2 linked regions of the Neurospora crassa OR74A genome follow. The protein of the gene in region 2 binds, or shares a complex with, the protein of the main gene of each other region. Links are inferred from orthologs where the notes say so. Each region holds a gene or a part of one and is shown on either strand. Other genes may lie near its edges.

Evidence for each region. Proteins that work in one complex are often made in the same cells at the same time.
Region 1: the proteins of NCU01772 (region 2) and NCU02533 are in contact, whole or in part, in a cryo-EM structure (PDB 7Z0H), measured with the Saccharomyces cerevisiae proteins. The link is inferred for Neurospora crassa OR74A from reciprocal best matches to the Saccharomyces cerevisiae genes RET1 and RPC40. Residues at the interface, in NP_014850.1 of Saccharomyces cerevisiae: Phe718, Thr729, Tyr730, Lys775, Ser776, Asp779, Arg780, Gly781, Arg784, Glu786, Arg788, Arg901, Asn903, Arg905, Lys927, Gln928, Glu929, Asp930, Phe933, Asn934, Asp935, Gln936, Gly937, Val992, Gly995, Phe996, Asn997, Tyr998, Lys1001, Asp1002; in NP_015435.1 of Saccharomyces cerevisiae: Val5, Ile7, Glu8, Tyr9, Asn10, Arg11, Val12, Thr15, Thr16, Ser17, Thr61, Ser62, Asn65, Arg68, Arg69, Ile72, Ser73, Val91, Gln93, Asp94, Glu95, Val96, His99, Arg100, Leu103, Gly214, Asp215, His216, Ala217, Thr224.

What each region holds. Positions count from the first base shown.
Region 1 is NC_026501.1:2,643,392-2,653,758, forward strand, and holds NCU02533 (DNA-directed RNA polymerase I and III polypeptide), read right to left. Parts: upstream 4,646-10,367; 5' UTR 4,537-4,645; coding exon 4,459-4,536; intron 4,368-4,458; coding exon 3,309-4,367; 3' UTR 2,949-3,308; downstream 1-2,948. Other genes in the region: NCU02531 (hypothetical protein), read right to left, coding at 1-257; NCU02532 (NEDD8-activating enzyme E1 catalytic subunit), read left to right, coding at 1,133-1,176, 1,277-1,378, 1,460-1,465, 1,524-1,603, 1,662-2,737; nuo49 (NADH:ubiquinone oxidoreductase 49kD subunit), read left to right, coding at 5,768-6,445, 6,604-7,345, 7,430-7,446; NCU02535 (hypothetical protein), read right to left, coding at 8,220-9,821. UniProt on the Saccharomyces cerevisiae protein: DNA-dependent RNA polymerases catalyze the transcription of DNA into RNA using the four ribonucleoside triphosphates as substrates.
Region 2 is NC_026502.1:2,486,795-2,497,679, reverse strand, and holds NCU01772 (DNA-directed RNA polymerase III polypeptide), read right to left. Parts: upstream 6,406-10,885; 5' UTR 6,220-6,405; coding exon 2,752-6,219; 3' UTR 2,333-2,751; downstream 1-2,332. Other genes in the region: NCU01771 (DNA repair protein rhp57), read left to right, coding at 333-1,865; NCU16560 (hypothetical protein), read left to right, coding at 9,515-9,706, 9,797-9,817, 9,895-10,319, 10,807-10,885. UniProt on the Saccharomyces cerevisiae protein: DNA-dependent RNA polymerase catalyzes the transcription of DNA into RNA using the four ribonucleoside triphosphates as substrates. Second largest core component of RNA polymerase III which synthesizes small RNAs, such as 5S rRNA and tRNAs.

The sequences.
Region 1 (10,367 bases), on a different chromosome or scaffold from region 2:
AACAGGCATACCAGGTTGAGAAGGACTGCCAGATTGATTGCGATGTCCGGTCGCTTGGACTTGCCATCGCCGGATTTTGCTTCCTGTAACCATGCCCTCAGACGCACAATAATGGCATTGACCCCTGTCAGACTGCGAAGACAAGCTAGCAAGAGCCCCAAGGCCGAAGACTTGGTTTCATGGGAGTCTTCGTTTAGCAGAGTCCAATAGTTCGGGACGATTTCTGACACCAGCACCTGAACTAGCTTTGCGGTCATAGGACTTGGTTCCTTGATGCTGAATGTGGACCCGGCTAAATCCTCATGGCTGAGGAATCGCAAAGTAGCGACGAGCTGGTCGTAGTTAGGTTCATGTCGTAAAACTTCGAGGGCTTCCTCGGGCGAGTTCAAGGGCCTCTGACCAGGAGATTGGTTCGGCTTTACTGTTTCCTTTCTGAGGCCAACTTCCTGGAGCAGAGGTTCGTTGGGGCTCGCACTCAGGCGGGAGGTGCTGATGGGCGTCAAGAGGCCGTTCATCTCAGATATCTGTAATGATGTCAGTTGGTGATGAGGACTTTGAAATACACAGGCTGGGCTTGAAGTGAAATTCACACCCCGGAACGTTACCTATCGTTTGACCGATCGAAAGAGGACGGAACGAATTGGAAGGAAAGTGGAAATTCCGTTTCGTATCGACGACATTTCACTGAGTGTACGTAGTTATCTGCGTCAAACGGAAAGCAACAGGGGATGATACGTAGCGTCGGTGTTGCTGCTAAGTGCTAACTGATCCGTTGTGCAGGCAGTCGTCCCTTCCCTGTAGCGGCCCTGAACTGCACTTTCGGGCACTCTCCGTTGCCGCTGTTGGTAACCTACAGGGTCTCCTTTAACGGGGCGGCAGGAGCTATCCACTCACCATCTCCGAACCTGAAGTCCGGGCCCGCCCGCAAGTGGAACTATGGAAGCTTCCCTCCTCCAGTTCCGTTTGTTTGTTGTCCCGTCAACTCACCCCTCGGATTGTACATTCAACCTGCAACAATTTGTGAGCCGCGACTAATCAGCAAATATTATCACTAGCATTTCTCATCCTACCCGCCGGCCTCCCCCTTAATTATCTCACCAGCGAAGTCTCCTCTTGTAGCCATAAACTAGTCATGTCAAGTCCAGAAGTACTCCCAGACTCCGAAGCCAAAAGATGGTAGGTGTTACGCGCTCTCGATCGCGACCCAAGAACACCCCCTGGATTTCATATCTTCAGGGCATGAGTCCCAACAGCTAACACGCCACCTTTACCATAGGAAGTATCTCAACAATGTCCGAACACGGCCAGGCGCATTCGTGGATCCGGAAGAGTTTGATGGCTCAACGGTAGTAGAGAACATGAACAAAATCAAGATCTTGTAAGTTATCCTTTTAATTGGCAGTACATCAAGTGTATGCGTATATCAAATTATTCAAGCAGAAGCTGATAACTTTTCCAGAGTCATGTTAGTCTCAGCTTAATGATTTGACGGGTCATGGTTATGAGAACTGACGGCAAGGTAGCGGAGCTGGAGGACTGGGTTGTGAGATCCTCAAGAACCTCGCCCTTTCCGGGTTCAAGGACATTTCCGTCATCGACATGGGTCGGTTGTCCTCTATAGATATATCGACATGTCAATGATAGCTGACCTGGAAGTCTAGATACGATCGACATCTCCAACCTTAACCGCCAGTTTCTCTTCCGTCACGCGGACGTAGGGAAATTCAAAGCCGAAGTAGCTGCCAAGTTCGTTGAGAGAAGAGTCAAAGGCGTCAAGATCACGCCATATAACTGCAAGATACAGGACTTCGATGAAGACTTCTACCAGCAGTTCCAGATTGTAGTCTGCGGACTGGACAGCATCGAGGCACGCCGATGGATCAACGCCACCCTGGTCAACATGGCGAGTTGTGAAAACCCTGATAGCATGAAACCTCTCATCGACGGCGGCACCGAGGGCTTCAAGGGCCAAGCCCGCGTTATTCTACCGACCATGGGCTCTTGTATCGAGTGCCAGCTAGACATGCACGCTCCCCGAGCCGCCGTTCCTCTTTGCACTCTCGCCAGCATCCCCCGCCAGCCGGAGCACTGCATCGAATGGGCGCACGTCATCGCTTGGGACAAGGAGAAGCCGTTCCCGCAGCTCGACAAGGACGACCCGGAGCACATCACCTGGCTCTACCAGAAAGCCCTCGAGCGGGCAAAGGAATTCAACATATCGGGCGTCACGTACTCTCTGACGCAAGGCGTGGTGAAGAACATCATCCCGGCCATCGCGGCCACGAACTCGGTCATCGCCGCGGCCTGCTGCAACGAGGCACTCAAGATCGCATCCAGCTGTGCACCCTTTTTGGGCACCCCCGGCGAAGGCGAGCCTAATTATATGATGTATTCCGGCAACGACAGCATTTACACGTATACGTTTAAGCACGAGCAAAAGGAGGACTGCCCCGTGTGCGGCATGACGGCAAGGGTGCTCAAGGTCAACCCCAAGTGGACACTCGAAGAGCTCATAGAGTCGTTTGCTACCCTTCCTGAGGCGCAACTGAAGAAGCCGTCGGTGCGGGCTGAGGGCAAGACGCTGTACATGCAGTTGCCCCCGAACTTGGAGGAGCAGACGCGGCCAAACTTGGAGAAGACACTTGAGCAGCTTGGGCTGACGGAAGGTACTGAGCTCGCCGTTACTGATCCAGCGTTTGTAGGCGTGGTGTTCAACTTCAGCCTCAAGTTTGCATGATGGTCCCCAGACATGAACGTGTCATGATGGCCTGGCCTGGTTTGCCTGGACTTTGTTCATGCTATTTAGGGACTAGATTTGTAAATTACCTACGAGCGGGAGCGTTGCACAACAAGCAGCGGGGAATGACCCGCAAGATGGCTATAGCGATGAGTTAACTTCCTTTGCAATTAATTAGATGTGAATACAAGATATGATTAACAATGTGCTTCAACAATATGCTACGCAGTACGTAACCAAAAGACATCATGTCAAATGAGGGGTACTGTGTTTATGCAAGACAGTGTGGTTCATGACTCATGTGCACCGACATGTCTATGATAATTAACAAGCAGAAACCATTAAACTAAAGCTGGCCACCAATCCCTAGCCTCCATGACGCCGTTCCAATGTTCTTTTATATGGTTACAAGAGAGATGGGTATCCTCACGACCTAATCCGTGTGATTTTTCCTCTTTCCCTGTGTGATTCCACATCATGATCGCTCAAATTCTGTCTCAACCACCGTACATAGAAATAACCTCACCTCTTCTTCGTGCTATTTTGAATCCTCCTACCCCTGGTACAATGTTTACTGTACCATGTTCACCACCTGCTTCTCGAACCTCTTCGCCTTCTCCTTGAGGTGGGCAATCGATTCGAGGAAGATGGCGTCGCTTTCCCACTGCCCCGTGCTCTCCACCAGGTAAATGAAGTGATCCCTCCTTCGGCCCAGCTTGACCTTGTCCTTGAACTCGTCATGGCGCAAGCACTCTCTGCTGACGGTGTCACGCATGGCGTCCAGGACCACGGCCTTGAGCTCGCCCTCATGGCCCTCGTATCCGCTGCCCTTCTTCTTCGCCTCCTCCTTGGTGACCTTTTCCAGCCCGATGACGCCCTCGGGGAAGCACTTCTGGAATTTCTCGGCGTCGCGGCCTAGGATCGGCTCGAGAATGGTGATGGTCGGCATGAGGCGGTACGAGGCCGTGGCGACGGGGGAGAACTTGGCGTGATCGGACCCGACGCCCTTGTGCATGTGCATCGTCAGATCGATCTCCTGTCCCGGCCGCATCTTGGCGACGAGGATGTCAGGGTTCGTGGGCCGGATGGCGTTCTCGCCCGAGAAGTACTTGGCTTGCCGGCCCTTGGGCACGAACTTGATGTCCTTAGCGTAAACATGGGCGTTGTGGTAGAGCTCCTTGGGGTCCTTGCTGTCTGCCGGCGCGCTCTCGTTGTTCTCGCACTTGACCTTGAGCTCGAGCTCGACCGTGTTGTAGTCGCACGGGGTCTCGCCCTTCTTGTACCACTTGAGGAAGTTATGGAGGCCTTCCTTGCCGCCGGTGAACGGGATCAGGCCCAGGCGGTGGCCAAGAACTTCGTCCTGGATCACGGAGGTGTTGTTCCACATGAAAATGTCCTCAATGGCCAGCGTGGGGATGTCGGCAATCATGATACGGCGGAAGGCATTGGCGATAGAGGCGTCGACGCCAATGAGCGAGAATTGAGCCTCATAAGGGTCGTTCTGGTGGAACACTACGCGGACACTTTCGCGGAACTTTTCGATATCCCAGGAATGATCCTCGCCGGGGTAGAAGCCGGGAAAGTCGGTGGATGTGACATTGGTGACAGTTTCGGCGTTGATATGGACAGTCTGCAGAAGAAAAATGCCATCAGTTTCCGCGTTGCATGCGCTGCGCAGCCTCGACTGATGATGATGGGCGGCAAGCCAGTGATTGACGTACGTTACGCTTCTCAACCTCTTCTGGGCTCGGGACCTTTGTCCTGACGGGCACGGCGGTCTGCTTCTTTGAGGATCCCATTGCGACGATATGTGTAAATAATGCTCTAGGTTGGCGGGGTTACCCTCTCGCTTTCACACGCAGGTCGGCACGCCGGGCAAAATCTTGGGAAAGAGAGCTCTGCGCTGTGCGACGGGCGATGGAGCGGCAGAATTTTTCCCACGAACGGGAACTTTTTGACCGCCTTCGCGGGAATGCGGTTGATTGGTTGGCTGAGATCTTATCGTGCTGCAGGCAGTGGCGGAGAGGTTCAGGGACTGCCTGGCTCAACTTGATGCTCATGGGCCTCGGCGGAGACAATTGTGGACAGGACCGCAATGACTGGGACAAGGCCAACAGGGTACATGGCGGGCCATAACCTCTGTCAGGTTACCGTCGACTTCGACCATCGACGAAACCTGAGGCGAAGAGAGAACGCTAGATCTTCACTTGCAAAGGGCTGCGCAGGTATGATGGGAGATACTTCAACTACCTAGATATACTTGCATGTCGGGAGTATCAATTCCAAATCCACAATTTTGTAGCTTCGGCGAGGGAAAGACATCGGGGCTTCATATTCCATGTCCACATCGAGGTTTGTCGCGAGTAAGTGACATGTTGACTAACTCCACTCTTAACTCCAGCACATCTTGGAATCTCTGTGGTCATTGTTATAAGTGTGGACATGCTCTTCCATCCTCCTCTTCCTTTCTGCGAAAACCTCTCCCTAAAATGCCCAAATTCCGACTTACACTGCCTCGAGACTGCCTGGCGAAGGACCGAGGCTTCTACAACCAGCCAATCAGATGGCATATAGCGCGGCTGCCCTCCATGGGACCGCTTGGCGGCACGGCTGCCGGATAAACGCCTTGGCCGGCAACAGTCGAGACGGGAGCTTGCCCGCCGTGGGGGGAACGTTGTACCAGAAGAAGCTTGGTCTCTGACTGCTCAACTGATGGCCTTTGATTGGGTTGAAATTCACTGACCAACTGACGGCAACGATTTGAGGAGTTCGAAGCTGGGGCGTTGCTGCGGCCGTGGTCAGGGAAAGTCGACTGGACGTCAACTGAAGCATCTCCACCACCACCTTATTACTGCTATCACTAGAAATCGCAAGCTCACTGCGAGCCATTGAACCGCCGGAGAAGAGGCCACATCCAGCGGCGAACCTCCTCCCCTTTGTCCTCCGTCGCTGTCAATCCTGCGAATCTATCCATCTCCGTTCCCTGACCTTCTGAGCGACCCAAAGCAAGCGGCAGTCCCACAAACAACAATGGCGACGACGTTGTTCCGACTCGCTGGGCGCAATGCCAAGCGCCATTGTATGCGCCAGAGCACCACCATCGCTCACAACCTCAACTCGACTCGCGCCTTTTCTGCCTCCGCTCTCAGACGGTATGCCGAGCCCAGCTACGAGGGCCAAGGAACCCGTCTGGTCCCTACCGGCGACGACTTTGCGCCCAACAACGATCTGTATGGCTTGGAGGCTTTGAAGGCAGACGGTGCCCCGAGAGTGCCTCCCCAGGATCATATCCTGGCCCGCAAGGTGCGGCACTACACGGTCAACTTCGGTCCTCAGCATCCGGCCGCTCACGGTGTGTTGCGCCTGATTCTCGAGCTAAAGGGTGAAGAGATTGTTCGTGCCGACCCCCACGTCGGCCTGCTGCATCGCGGCACCGAGAAGCTCTGCGAGTACAGGACCTACCTTCAGGCGCTCCCTTACTTTGACCGTCTTGACTACGTCTCCATGATGACCAACGAGCAATGTTTTGCTCTGGCCGTTGAGAAGCTGCTCAACGTTGAGATCCCCGAGCGTGCCAAGTGGATTCGTACAATGTTCGCTGAGATTACCCGTATTCTCAACCATCTCATGTCTGTTTTGTCGCACGCCATGGACGTCGGCGCTCTCACGCCTTTCTTGTGGGGCTTTGAGGAAAGAGAGAAATTGATGGTGAGTGTTGATTCGTATTTTTCGTTAAATATCGGCGGTCTCTATCAGATGGGTATATTAAAAACCAATGCGCGAAACTCTACGCGAAAGGACCTGGGAATACCAATGCAGCACGCACCCAACCCCAGCAGCTCAATCTAATATGTGAAAAACCTTAGGAATTCTACGAGCGAGTCTCTGGTGCCCGTCTCCATGCTGCCTACGTCCGCCCCGGAGGTGTCCACCAAGATATCCCTCTCGGCCTGCTCGATGACATTTACATGTGGGCCACGCAGTTCGGCGACCGCATCGACGAAACCGAGGAGATGCTTACGGACAACCGTATCTGGATAGACCGTCTGCGCGGCATCGGTGTAGTCTCTGCCGCCGACGCCCTGAACCTGTCCTTCACGGGCGTCATGCTCCGCGGTTCCGGCGTGCCATGGGACATCCGTAAGAGTCAGCCGTACGACGCATACGACCAAGTCGAGTTTGACGTTCCCGTTGGCATCAACGGCGACTGCTACGACCGGTACCTGTGCCGCATGGAGGAGTTCCGTCAGTCACTCCGTATCATCCACCAGTGCCTTAACAAGATGCCCGCTGGTCCCGTCCGTGTCGAAGACTACAAGATCTCCCCGCCGCCCCGCTCCGCCATGAAGGAGAACATGGAGGCCCTCATCCACCACTTCTTGCTGTACACCAAGGGCTATGCCGTCCCGCCCGGTGACACCTACTCGGCCATCGAGGCCCCCAAGGGCGAAATGGGCGTCTATGTCGTCAGTGATGGTTCCGAGAGGCCGTATCGTGTGCACATCCGCGCTCCCGGCTTTGCTCATCTGGGTGGCTTTGACCACTTGTCGAGGGGCCACATGTTGGCTGATGCCGTGGCCGTTATCGGCACAATGGATTTGGTGTTTGGTAAGTTTGATTCTCATTGTGTGAAACTCTCTTCTTTAAAATTCCAAGTGGTTTGGTAGCTAACCCTTTTATTCCTACTTCCAGGTGAGGTCGATCGGTAATGTTGAAGCTCTCCGGCTGCAAACTTTGTGACATGGAACGCAACGCATGGGATATTTTTTTTTTGATGAATGAAGCACAGCAACTGCAGATATTGAAATGAGCGGATAAGCAGGCCGCGCGCGATGTTTTACCTTTAAAGAACGCCTAAAGGAGAAACAGTACTTTGGGTTTTGCTGATAAAGGTGGGACGTTTTGACTTCTTCTCTTATCCCCTGGCAAAAACGGAACAGGAAACATAGATAGATGCAGACTAGACCAGCAACAGAAGAAGAATAGCCAATTCAGTCATCGGGTCTTTAAAAGAGAGACTGAAGTGAAGGGATGCCATGCTTTGGTCTTTCGTCGTTGAGTTGTGTGCAACACATCATCCACGTCCTTCTTCTTCAACATTTTCTGTGGTGTTGGTGTTAGTTGTGCCAGTCCTTGATGTGCATGGTTGTGTGGTGCTGTGAGACGAGATATGAAAAAGGCAACGCGACGACTGCTTGTTGTTACAATAACTTCTCAGCCGCCACTGGACTGGCTGCCGTCGAACATTGTCGCGGAGCGAACACTCGCTCTCTGTCGACTTTGATAATCTCCATCCCGCCGTCATACTGCGCGCTGAGAATTTGTTGTTTTCGTGGTTCGCTGTCCTCTGTATTGTTAGCTTCACAATTGGGCCACTCTCATAAAAGTCCCAGGGAATTCACATCTTCGAAACAAGTCATGGAAGCGATGGGATGGCGACTCACCAGTCCAAGGACTCAAGATGAGGAATCCTTAATCCCGCTCAGGAGTACGATGAGCTCCGCTGGTGTCCTCTTCCCAAACTTGTACGGTGTTGCTGGTATTGCTCGGCGTGATCAACTTGAGCCCCACAACCACCTTCAGCATCATTCGCGATGCCGGTTCCGTTTCCGTTTCCGTTATTGGTTTCAGTATCGGTCCCAACCTTATTAGTCTCAGCTTGAACCTCGCTCGAAACCACCCCAGCTCTAGAACGAGGTTCAGGTCCAGGTCCAGGTTCAGATTCAGATTGGAAGCTCGACTTGCATCTTCTCAACTGACAATCCTCCCAATTAGGCATGTGTACTTCACTGCCCTCTGGTCCGGAGCCGACGGGCAGACCGCAGTATGGAAATGGGAATGGAAGACACGGTGGCGGAGAGGAACGACTGGTTAGGGAATGAAGTTCCTGACAATGTTGCTGAAGCTGTTGCGGTCCATCCTGAGTCTCGGGCTCGTGGTCACAATGATCGGGGAAAACAATGCCCATTGGTACGAAGGTGTGTGGTCCGTAAACGTGTTGTTCATGGTTGCCGTAGACCGAGGCGACGGCGTGGGACGACGAACGGATAGAGAGCTGCCCTGGCTGATCTGCCAGGCCGAAAAGCTCCGGTCGCTGCTGGTGCTGTGCTGCCGGATCACAAGACCGCCCCTGGGGGAAAGGCACGGAGGTGTTCGCCAAAGTCACCGAAGTGGCATGCCTTGGCTGGCTGTGGTGATGTCCCTGTCCTTGATGAAAATGCTCCTGCTGATGATGAAGGCAGTGGCTCTGGCGGTGATGCGAGCGAGCTCTGGTATGACGAGGGCCGGTCGGAGGTAAATTAGATACAAGAGGAGGTTTCGGTTTGGCCGGGGGTGATGACGCAGCAGCAGCAGGATCAAAAGTTCCAAACGTATCATTGATCTGGGCCATCCGTAAAGTAATTTCCTCCTCACCCTTGTTTATGGCCCTATTGCGGCTCTCAGTCTGGCGGTATTCCTGGAGATACTCCCGTTCCCCGGTGATCATGTCATATTCTCCCACGTCAGGCTGAAAGGGCGTAAAACGGACCGGACACTGGCATCTTCCGCTGTCGTGGAGAGCGCGGTGATCAGCTAGCCACTCGGCCGCGTACAAGCTGGGCAAGCGGATGGCAACACGCTGCTGATCGCCGGTAGCGGTCTCGGTGAATATGGGCGGAATGTGGTAAGTTCCTGTTCCTGTATTGCCTTGTTGTAGTGCCTCCTCTACCTCCGTTGGATCATAGGGAGTGGGAGCAGATCCACAATGTCCGATTGTGTCGTCTCGGGCCCCTTCAGTGAAGTCTTCCTCTGGACCTAGGACGTTGCCAATCACGCGAGGTCGGGTCAGAAGGCCGGGGAAGACCACATCACAGCCGCAAACTCCACGCTCATGGAGCCAGCGATGCTCCCACTCCCGAATAAGTACCCATCGTGAGTGTAGGAGTCTTTCGCAAGGGCCGCACATGGTTTGTGCCAGGTGTTGCTTTGACGGCCGGATGGTGCAGATGGGGAAGTTGTGTCCTGCGGTGGTCAGGGGGCACGGGCGAACGACACCCGGTGTTCGGTGCCCACACTGGTAGGCAATGTACTCTTGGATACACATCCCTCTGTTGACTTGAGCTGCTTGCACGGAAATCTCGTGTCAACTGGGCCTGGCTAAGCCGCAGTTGAAAGTGAACCAGAGCTATGGTTGATTGAGCGGTATTGATACGTAGAGATATCGACGAAGACTGCATTGAAGTTCAGGACCGTTGTATGAATAAAACTGCCAACTGGCCCTGACCACGGCTTCGGTCACCCTCTGAAGCGTCCTGCGAGGTTGTTGTAACTTTGTCGTCAATCCTAAGGCGACGGAATTGAGCGGACTCAATGGCTCCGACGAAGAGAAGCCTTTCAAGATGAGCAGTTGTCGAAATCCGCTTGCCTGCTTGAGTACCGAAGTCCTCTCCGGGTGGTTTTCAATGAATTTGTATACTCCGATATTTGAGCGGGCCTATCCTCATCGTTCGACAAACAGATGAGAACGTGGCTGACGACGCAGTGTTTTATAGCGCACCCACTGCAGATGGAAGATTTGATTGAGTTCTGGTACCGGCAATGGTAAGCCAAGTGCAAGTTGTTGAGGATGCCAGCCAACAATCGACCAGCT
Region 2 (10,885 bases):
AGGCAATCAAGCGGCCCCACAAACAGGGCACCGAACAGCGGGCCCGGCGGGCAGTGGGCCGGAATGCGGCACACACCCACGCAAAACTTTGGACGGATCTGCAACCCACAACCCCCCGTCGGGCCACAACCAGCAGTGGGTGACAACAACTCGCTGTCCGCTGGACCGCCCCCCCAACGCCGATCGTCTCGCAGGCGGACGGGACGGGACCCACATGAACAACCCAAAACAGACGTCCTTCACCCACTCACAACTCACAACCCTTCGTCACCTCGACAACGACGACGACGACCGTACACCAAGTCGTGTAAACAAATGACCCTTCATGACCCATGACCGATCTTCTCCGCGTCCTGCCGCACTTCCCCGTCGCCCAATATGCAAGTCTAATCTCTACCCTGGAGAAGGTCGGCCTCACCACCAGCGACCTCTTGACTCTAGAAGCAGCCGACATTGGAAAACGCACTCAACTGCCCCTGCTCGACGTCAAGCGTCTATGTGCCGCCGTCCTCGCTGCTCTTCACGATGACCTAGGTGTTTTTGCCACATCTCGCCGCGGCCAACACAGCAGCAGCAGTCATGTTCAGGATCAACAACATGGTCAGACCCTGAAAAACACGCCCGCCTCCCTCGCCGCACAATGGCAGACCATCAGCACCCTAGATCCGGACATCGACCGCGCTCTCGGCGGCGGCATCCCCGCCGGCTATGTGACCGAGATCACCGGCGAGTCCGGCGCCGGCAAGACGCAGTTCCTGCTCACACTGCTCCTCTCAGTTCAGTTACCGCCTCCGCACGGCCTCGGCAGGCCGGCGCTGTACATCAGCACCGAGGCGCCGCTCTCCACCCGGCGGCTGGCCCAAATGCTCACCACCAACCCTTTCTACGCGGACCTTGACTCAGAAAGCGGCCGAGGAGGAGAAGGAGGAGGAGGAGGAGGAGGAGGAAAGAGACCATCGCTCGATAACATCATCAGCACCGTCACGCCCGACCTGGAAAGCCAAGATCACATCCTCACTTACCAAGTGCCCGTGGAGATTGAGCGGCGCAACATCGGCCTGTTGGTGCTCGATAGCGTGGCAGCCAACTACCGCGCCGAGTTTGATCGTTCTTCCAAAGAAGCAGCTACGTCGTCCTCGACACCAGGCGCGCGATCCTCTAACATGGGAGCGCGCACCGCCGAGCTAGTTCGACTAGGTATGCAACTTCGCGATCTAGCGCAAAAGTACAACCTAGCCGTGGTGGTGTCCAATCAAGTAGCCGATCGGTTTGGGACTAAGATGCCTGAGCCCATTTCTTCTTCTATCCCTCGCTCCTCCATTTCCATCCCACCTCGATCCAGCAGCAACGTTCCTACACCCTCCACCCCCTACCCTCACGGTCACCCAGCAGACGACGACACCTCAACAATCCACCACCCCGCCCTCCACTTCGACAACCAACAACGTTTTTTCACCGGTTGGGGCGACGATCCTTACGCCTCCTACGCTTTGAAGACTCCCTCCTTGGGTCTGGTCTGGTCTACACAGATCTCTGCGAGGATAGCGCTGTTCAAAAGGCCAGCTTACGGGAGGAGTAAGTACCAAGCTGATGATGATGATGATGATGATGACATTGCCGTTGTCGGCAGTGGGAGAGAAGCTGTGGGAATGCCAATGCTGAAGAGCTGGAGGAGGTGGATGAAGGTTGTTTTTGCAGGATGGACGGCGGAGAGCGGGATGGGGTTGGGAGAGGGAAGTGTGGAGTTTGAGGTTTGGATGGGGGGGCTGAAGGGGGTGGGGAAGAAGAACGGGAAGGAGGAGGGAATGAAGAAGGGGGAGGGGGAATTGAAAGTGGGTGGGAAGGGAAAGGGAAAAGAAGTCTGACATGTGAAAGGGGTTTATGAGAGGACAAGAAAAGAGATGATCTGAGGTGGTTTTGGGAAGCAGTGAGTAGTGTTTTCAACTGTGCTAGAAATGATTTGGGAAGAAGAAAAAAAGGGATAATATGTGATACCCCCCAGATTTTGGAGCTTAGAATACACTTTATTTAGAATACCAAATGTAAAAGTCGACGGTTAGTGACGCCAGTCAGTGAGCGAACGATACACACGGTCAAGAATAGCCAAAATACTCGCCGAAAATATCAAGGATTTCTTCTTTATCTTAAGTCAAAATCAATCGCAGAGTGACGTCGTCCACAACAACTGCTTGCCTGTTGGATTTTATACGCAGGGGTAATTAGATATATTGCATGCATGCGTATCCATTCATGGGTACGTTATGAACTTTTCTTCCTCACTATCACAGCAACCCAGAAGTAGATCCGGTCCCGGAAAGCTGGGTTAGACAATGTCTAATGGGCACCCGTCCTCTTTGCTAACCTGTGATATCCAGTCAGAAATCAAGAACAACGACAACCAGACGCTAACCGTGGCAGTAAAAGGGGCTTTAAATAGGTTGCAAAAGGATCTTGATCGATTCGAACTTGTATACGTATTTCGTCTTTGTGTGTAAGTCCCATTACAGTCTAGTGTAACCGTTTGTCTACCCTCGCCGCGCTCTTTGAAAATGCTAAGGAGTAAGAGAACCACGCGCGCCCAAACACCTGTCATGTAAACTGTCTGCAAAAAATCCAAACATCAACCGGCTACCACCACCAAAGATCTCGTTTTCCACAAAACCCGTGCTCATTCTATCGACGAGTCTGAATTCCTACACGACACGATACCACATCATATCCTCTACCACCTCCGGAGGGAGTCGCTGAAAACTACCTCGGGTGAGGGAACTCATCCTCCAACTTAAGCTTCACACCCACATTCATACTGATAAGCTCCTGCACCAGCAACTTGCAAGCATACGGCATTGTCATCTGGGTAACGTTCCTCGTGCTCTTGCAAGCGTTGCAGTAGCCCTTGTAACCGAACAGGCCACACTCCTGGCAGACGTCGAGTTCGGTGCCATCCGAGGATATCATGAGACGCTCCAGCAACAACTGCGAGGCGCCGTAGGCGATCAAGCAATCGCGCTCCATCTCTCCGAGACGGAGACCACCGTCGCGTGAACGGCCTTCGGTGGGCTGGCGCGTGAGGATGGCGCGAGGGCCGCGCGAGCGCGAGTGCATCTTGTCCTGTACCATGTGCTTGAGGCGCTGGTAGAAGATGGGGCCGTTGTAGATGTAGGCCTCCATGGGCTCACCCGTGATGCCCGAGGTGAAGTAGTCTTTACCCTCCCACGAGAAGCCGTGGTCGATCAGGGCCTGGCCCATGGACTCGACGGGGTGCGAGCGGAAGGCATCGCCGAAGCCGTAGTCCTTCTCGCCAGCGATGACCGAGGCTTTGCCGGTCAGGCACTCGAAGAGCTTGCCGACTGTCATTCGAGAGGGGAAACCGTGGGGGTTCATGATGATATCGGGGCGGAGGCCCTTGTCGGAGAAGGGCATGTCCTCTTCGTTGACGATGATACCGACGACACCCTTCTGACCGTGACGGGACGAGAATTTGTCACCAAGTTCCGGCCTACGGGTCTGGCGGGTTTGGACCTTGATCAACTTGTTCTCGCGCTCGTTGACCGAAATCATGACCTTGTCGATGATGGCGGGGTCGGAAATGCGGTAGTTGGTTGATGCGTCACGGTAATCGTCTGACCCACGATCGCCAGCGATTCCAGTAGAGATCTGGTCCAACGGGGTCTCCTTCTTGATCATCGTTTGTCCGGATTCAACCTTTGAGCCCACCTGGGCCAGGCCATCGGCGTCGAGGATGGCGTGCTTAACAATGGGCTTGTCGTCTTCGTCCTTCATGATACCGCCAACCCTGTCGCGGCGCCCATTCGTATAGCCTTGCAATTCGGCGGTATACTTGCGGAACACTTGGCAGCGGCCGAATCCACGATCTAGAGAAGCCTTGTTCAGAACAAGCGCATCTTCGATATCGTAGCCAGAGTAAGACATGACAACGACGGTGGCGTTCTGTCCTGCCGGGAGCTTGTCGTAGTGGATAAGTTGAATCGTCTTCGTAATGACCATTGGTCGTTGGGGATAAACAAGGGTATAAAGAAGGGTATCGATTCTGTTGAACTGATTGTAGGCAATAGCACCAATGGCTTGTTTACCCATGGCGCACTGGTAAGTATTACGGGGAGACTGGTTGTGATGGGGAAAGGGAATTAGACCAGCGACTGCTCCGAGAATCGTGAACGGCTCAATTTCCATGTGCGTAGTGCTGTTGGTGATCTGATCCTCCTGAAGCGCCACAAGGGTATCGTTCTCTTCGTTGACATCGAGATACTCAACCACGCCGCTGGTCAGGAAAGTGTCGAATGTCGCTTGCCCGAGTTGAAGCATCTTCAGGTGCTCTGCCTTCAACATGGATTTGCCGTTCTTGACGATGATGTACGGGCGGCAAATACGTCCTTCATCGGTAGCGATATGAACCGCCGAGAAGTGCTCGTTGATGTGGATGCTCACAAAAGGAGAGACCCAGCCCCGGCGACGCAAAGTTCTGAACCTGGCGGCAAACCGCTTTGGCTCCCTGGTCACAGCAAATGGTGTACCGTTCAAATGGATGATATACGAGCCTTTGCTGTGCATCTCTGTTCCGGTGTATTCTCGGATCGGTCCCACGCTCTCATCAGCAGCAAAAATCATCTTCTTAACTGGTTCCTCCGGCACATTCGTGGTAATGTGTGTCATGAGTGCCAAATTCTTTACCAGACCACAGGCTTCACCTTCAGGTGTATCAGAGGTGCAGAGCATACCCCACTGTGAGGGCTGTAGGGCTCTTGGACCGGAAACCTTTCTTGTTTTTTCGAACTGTGAGCTGATACGCGTCATCATACCCAGCGCAGCGATATAACTGAGTCGGCTGAGCACGTGGGTGATACCGGCTCTGTTCATGTTGAAACGCTTGACCGTCCAGTTGCCGCTCTGAATGGCGCGGTTAAGACCGTGAGAGATATAATGGCCGTTAGCCATGATCGCACCATGGGGATCATACGTAGAGGTACGGTTGGGTTTCTTGAAAAAGTTGTCAATGTTGTACTTGACGTCTGAAATGAACTTTTTGAACAAGTCTTCAAATAGAAGGGAGATCAACTGTCCAGCCAATTCCAATCTCTTGTTGCCGACGAAATCTCTGTCATCGACGAGCTTGGGATTCTGAGCTGCCATCAGCACGCGGCGAACCATCATGGCAATGTAGACGGCCTTGGGATAGAAGTCGAGACCCTCAACAGTAACGTGCGCGATAACTAAGTTCGCAAGTGCGTCGAGACCTTCTTCAGCATGGTTTCTTCGAGGAGCGGCACCGAATTTGGGTCTGTTACCGCCCATCTTGACTCTAGCACCAACGTATTCCAACGCTTGTTGTTGTGTGTAGACACCAGCTCTTCCGGCTTCATCGAAGTTGATGAGGAAATCGTCCTGGTAGCGCGCATCGCCACCGCAAACCAGCTCGATGATGTCGTTGTCGGAAAGACCACCGAAGGCCTTGAGAACGATGACGATGGGAATGGGCTCGGAGAGGGTGTTGTGCTGCAGGACAATCCGGTCCTTCTTGAGTACGACGTAAGTCTTTGACTTTCTCTCGTGTGTGGAACTGGTAACCGAGGCCATGACTCCGCCGGTCTTCTCGTCGGCCTCGACAATGATACGGTTCTTGCTAAGCTGTTCCTGAATCAAGATGACCTTTTCGGTTCCGCCAATAACGAAGTAGCCACCAGGATCGAGAGGGCACTCGTTGAAGACCTCCATCTGGGCATTGGTGGCGCCGTTGAGGTAGCACTTTGCGCTCTTGAGCATGACGGGAATGCGGCATAGCGGGATGTTCTTGCGGACGATAACGTTCTTGTCGCGGGTGTAGGCGATGTCGACCTCGACGGGGGCGGCATAGGTGAGGTCGCGGAGACGGCACTCCATGGGGGTGACGGGGTTTCGAGACTGGACTTGTTCGCCATCTTCGGTGCGGGTGGGCATGCCGACGCGGATGTCTCTGAACTCGAGCCAAAAGTTGGGGTCCTGGTCGCTGCGGACGACGCGGTTGGCCCTAACGATGTCCTTGATTTCCTCGTTGACGAAGTAGTTGTACGAGTCGATGTGTTGCTTGACGAGGCCCTTGACCTTGAGGAAGGCCGGGACAAGATGGAACTTGTCCTGCGTGGTCGAGATGGGATCGGTCAGCTTCTTGCCATTGTAGAACGGCTCCAGCAGGGCCTCAAAGCCATCGTCGAGAGCCGCCATCCTTGCATGTGCTAACTGCGGGTGACGGTTCGTCGTATCGATCGGGCCGGAGGAATGGAGGATGGCGATGATGGGCGCGGAACGACCGGGAATGTGTGTTTGGTTGAGAAGATACGCCTTGCAGTTGTGTAGGTAGATTTCGATGTGATTTTTGGCCCCGCGGCAAATTGATAAGGATTAGTTGCGATAAACTTTTTCTACGGGCTGGCCGCTGCCATTTCTTGTTAGGTCAGTAGAGGTAAGCCGCGGCTGGGGCGGTGGGGGACGACGGGGCGGGAGTGGTCTGTGCTTGACTGTTAGTGTGTGTAGTGCACTACACTAGAGGTAGTGTTGTGGTGCGGTGACCGGTGACTGCTAGTGACTGCAGTGGTACCTAACTGGTATGCCGAGGCCAAAATTGTTAGCGCCCACGTTTTGGACCCCTGATTGACAGTTACATATACCTATGTAGGTTCCTTGTTCCACTTTTGGCCGTGCCCTCCACCTGTCGGGTACCTTTGAAACCTTTCCTTTTGCTTTGACTCCGGACCGTCACTTTGATGTTCGTGATAAGGAACCCCCGCCTCTGTGCAACTCCGACACATCTGCCTCCTGGTGGTAGGTTGTATTTACCTATCCAACTTCAACTAGCACAGCGATTTGAACAATTTGTAGCGGGGTCAGGCCAGCTAGGTAACCTCAAGATAGCTATGTATCCGTTCTGCTGAATCTAGCCGCGCCAAGCGGAAGCCGGGCCTTCGATCGACACACCAGTCAACAGGGGAGAGCTTCTGGTTATGAAATCACCTGCCGGGTCGTTCACTATTTCTCTCCTACCTGTTATCATGTTGATGGTCTTCTTCGGTCTTTGTTCGTTGATATGGCAGCCTTTGAATTGCTAATCGCATACAACGGAGGTTGATGTTATTCCCAAGTGCTGTGACCTGCTCAGGCTTCAAGAATCAGAGAAGGGTTATGCTTCTGGCTGACTATACAAACGTCAAAGAGTCGCATCACCGTTGGCCGTGTCTTACAGCATAGTGTAGGTAGGTACCCATCTTTTCCTAGGCCAGCTCCAGCAGGGTGCTACCTTGCTTGAATCGACCTGGAACCCAACCCAGCAGTGGGGCAAGATCCGAAAGAGGAGCAATTGAAAAAAAAAGGCGAGGAGATTTCACATCAAGGTTAAACACGGGGGCGCTGCACTTGTGCGTTCGCTTTCTCTACCATGGTCTCAATGAGCATTCAAGACATTCCATATCTCAGCGTCTACCATAGCTATCACCTGGCTATCGTACATTTGAGTGCTCAGAATGTAAATCGATCTTCTCTCTTGTACTGAATCTTCCACAGGGCAGAAGTGAGGGTTAGAGTGTCCAGCCTTGAACATTGACGGCTGTCTGCCTGTCACTCACTGTCTTGTGCCTTTTGTCACTATGGCTACCTTTCCCATGCCTTGTCTCGAGCTTGTCTCGCGTGTCAGCTAGAGTGCTGCAACACGCAATCCCTCTCCCGTTCTGTCGCCAGCCAATCATTACCTATCCGGTTCCAGACAAGGCCTAACATCGCGCAGGGGCAGCTGCAGACTGGACGCAAGGGCGCGGGTAAGAGAATCTGGGGCAGCCACCTCGTGGATTGCCTCACTGCAGGCCGTATAGCGCCCGGCGACGCCTATACACCGCTAATTCCTCAGGACTTCCACTTTGCCGTCTCTGGTGTTCCGTTCAATGAAAATCCTGGGGGTTCCTCGTAAGGCGATATATCTGGGAACTGAAGCAGGGCAAAGACCGGAAGAGGCTTTATCTCCATCCTACAGACACCCCCTGGGCGGAGTCAGGGTAGGTACCGTAGGCTTGGATCCCTCATCGCCGTCGCCTGCTGTTGTCTTGTAAAGCACATGTCCGTTTACAGGCCATGTTCAAGGGATCTGGTAGCAACTGGAGGCTGTCTCGTTGTACCAGATTGGCTAATGAGGTCAGATACTCCAATGCCACGCCAGCAAGCCGCATTTTTAATCATTCGCAACTCTGGCTGTCAACTCCCAAAGAAGTGAAAGGGGAAAGGGAAAAGAGGAAGAAGACGACAGCGTCGATGAGGTGAGGAGAGCTTCCACTCACTTCGCAAGTACCGGTACCTGTCCGAAGGGTGCAAAGCGGGGACCTCTTAGCGCAATCGCCCTTGGCCAGCAGATCCAATGATTGGGCTTCTGTCGTCCACCCACTGCGGAATCGAAGCACTAGTCTCTGGCTGTCAGGGGTTCTCGAACCCAGCATGCAGCATGTCCTCGTGTAGAGGTACTTACCTAGCTACCTAGGTAGTACGTAGAGGTGAGTTTGACAGTCCTGAGGGCATCCACAGAAGAGAAGTGACATGGACCACAGCGGCACCTCCAGCGGCAGCGGCAGGCTGGGCTGGGGGGGTTGAGGTCCAGTGCCCGCGAGAGAGGAAGCGGGTGGCATCCCATCCTCTCGCGCATCCCCATCCGTTCGGTGCCACCAACCGACCGACCGTGACCGTCAGTCTTCCGCCATACACTCCCTCTACTTCGACCTCCCAACCCGTCAGGCTTACTCGTCCTCCATCCCATCTCTCTTCGCTCTTTTTGCTGTATTACTACCGCTCCCGAACCTGCTGCTCCAGGCTTCCCGGGGCGCAGCGTATAGAGTATACGTGCGCCGACGAGACATATTGTTTCGCTTGGTACCTCTACGACTAGGTAGGTCGGTAACCTTGACGTCGTTCCTTCAATCGCATCCCGTCCATCACATACCTCAGGTCCCGGGCCACTCATACGCCTTCCATCCCCTCTCAACCTGCGCGACCTCGGACGCTGGAGCCCACGAGAGCCACGGCCTCGTCCTCACCCAGCGCTGGCCCATCCCAATGTCCAGTCAGTCTCATAATGGGCGCCATAGAGGTACTCAGGCTGCTCCAGTCTTGAGGACACGGCCGACTACAAGCGCGGTCCTATGCCTGCCACACAGCTTGGATGGCCATCGCAACAGCTGTCAGCATCCGGACGAGCTTTTGGAATTCGACACACCAGCCTTGCCGAACCCGAAGGAACTGTTCTGATTGCGACTCGCCGAGGGGTCAGCCATTCGTCACTACAACTGCTCTACATGTGGCTGTACATGGCACATTATCGTCCTCATGTGTTGCTTCTTCTCACAGTGCTCGTCTTGGTATTCGCTGAAAAAAGATGTTGACTAACGCTTGTGTGTGGCATTAGATTATAGAGGGAGCAGCCGCCGACGGATCCATCACCCTGTACAACAAAAGTGTATCGATTAGCAACTGTAAAGCCGAGATAATCATGGACGAGTTCTACCGCCCCCAGCCCCAGCGAGGCGAATCGCAAATGGCGCCCTCCTTTGTCAACAGGAGTGGTCCCTCCCTACCGCGCCGATTCACCGCAGAATCGGGCCATGTACCAACACTGTCATCCTTTATACCTGGTTCCCAGCGCCCACCCGAGCCCATCGAGTTTGCTGCTACTCCTGCTGCGGTACGTTCTTCCGGTCCCGGCCGCCTCTGCTCTTGGTGCAGACGCGACGGTGACATGTTTGTTGGAGATCATGCTGATCATGCTTGGTAGACTCTCCACAAGGTTCAGCTGGTACGTCGCAACTTGTTCGCAACGACGGCCCCAGGTGCCCACTAACCTCGCGGCCCATGCGGTTGCCTTGACAACAGTTAGAAAAGAAGAGACAGGAATACGAACGAATCCGAGAGAGCAAGCGGCGGTTCGAAGCCGAGCTCTCTAAACTAGACGCTCAGCAGCGTCAGGAAGAGCGTGAACTCGCACAGATGGCAGAGGATCTGCAGATAGGCAGATTCGCCGGCCACCAGTCCGAGCCGACCACACCCCCCGAGTATCGCGATGCCTCAAGAGGCTTTCCCTCCATGTTTTCCCGCCCGAACCGGCACTCGACCGGCCTCGTCAACCGTGGAACCCGCTCCTTGCTCACATCTCCGCCGTCGGGGATGCTGCCCATGCGGCTAGCCTTTGATGACCAACTGCCGACACGCTCAGGTCCAGGCTCACGAAGGAACAGTGACGAAGATGAGAAGGAAGAGGCTGTACGCCAGGATCCCACCAGCCATCGGTCCACCAAAGCGTAAGTATTTGCTTTTCTCTTAAACTGTCGAACAGGTTTTGCGTTGCTCCCAGTCTGCTGCTGCGATCTGATGTGAAGCCGTTGCGGTTTCTGTGATGGGGCAGGAGAAGAGATCATAAGCCCCTCAAACTTACTGTAAAGGGTATCGAAGTTTCGGCCCATCTTTCTGCCTGGCTGTGCTCTTGGCTGAATCTCCTCTTTTGCTGTGTCCAAGGCACTCTTTTTCATCCCATAATCACAACTTATAGAAGGAGAATGGCGATCAATAGCAGACTCGATTATCCACCCTAGTGGGAAGTGATCTATAGAGGTTGCTATTGTCTGACAGGTTACTCCATTCTGGGGATGAACCTTCTATAAAAGCACACGGTTGCGCCCTTCTCTCCTTGACCACAACTTGACTCCTGTATAACTCACCGCACTCGGCCCCAATATCAATTGCAACCTCGACCCGGAGCTTGACATTAACGGGGGATCTGCCTATTAGTACGAACCGCTACTCTATGCCTGTGACCCGATCCCGTACCTCGTACGATATCGGTCTCGAAGACAGCAACAACACAGCC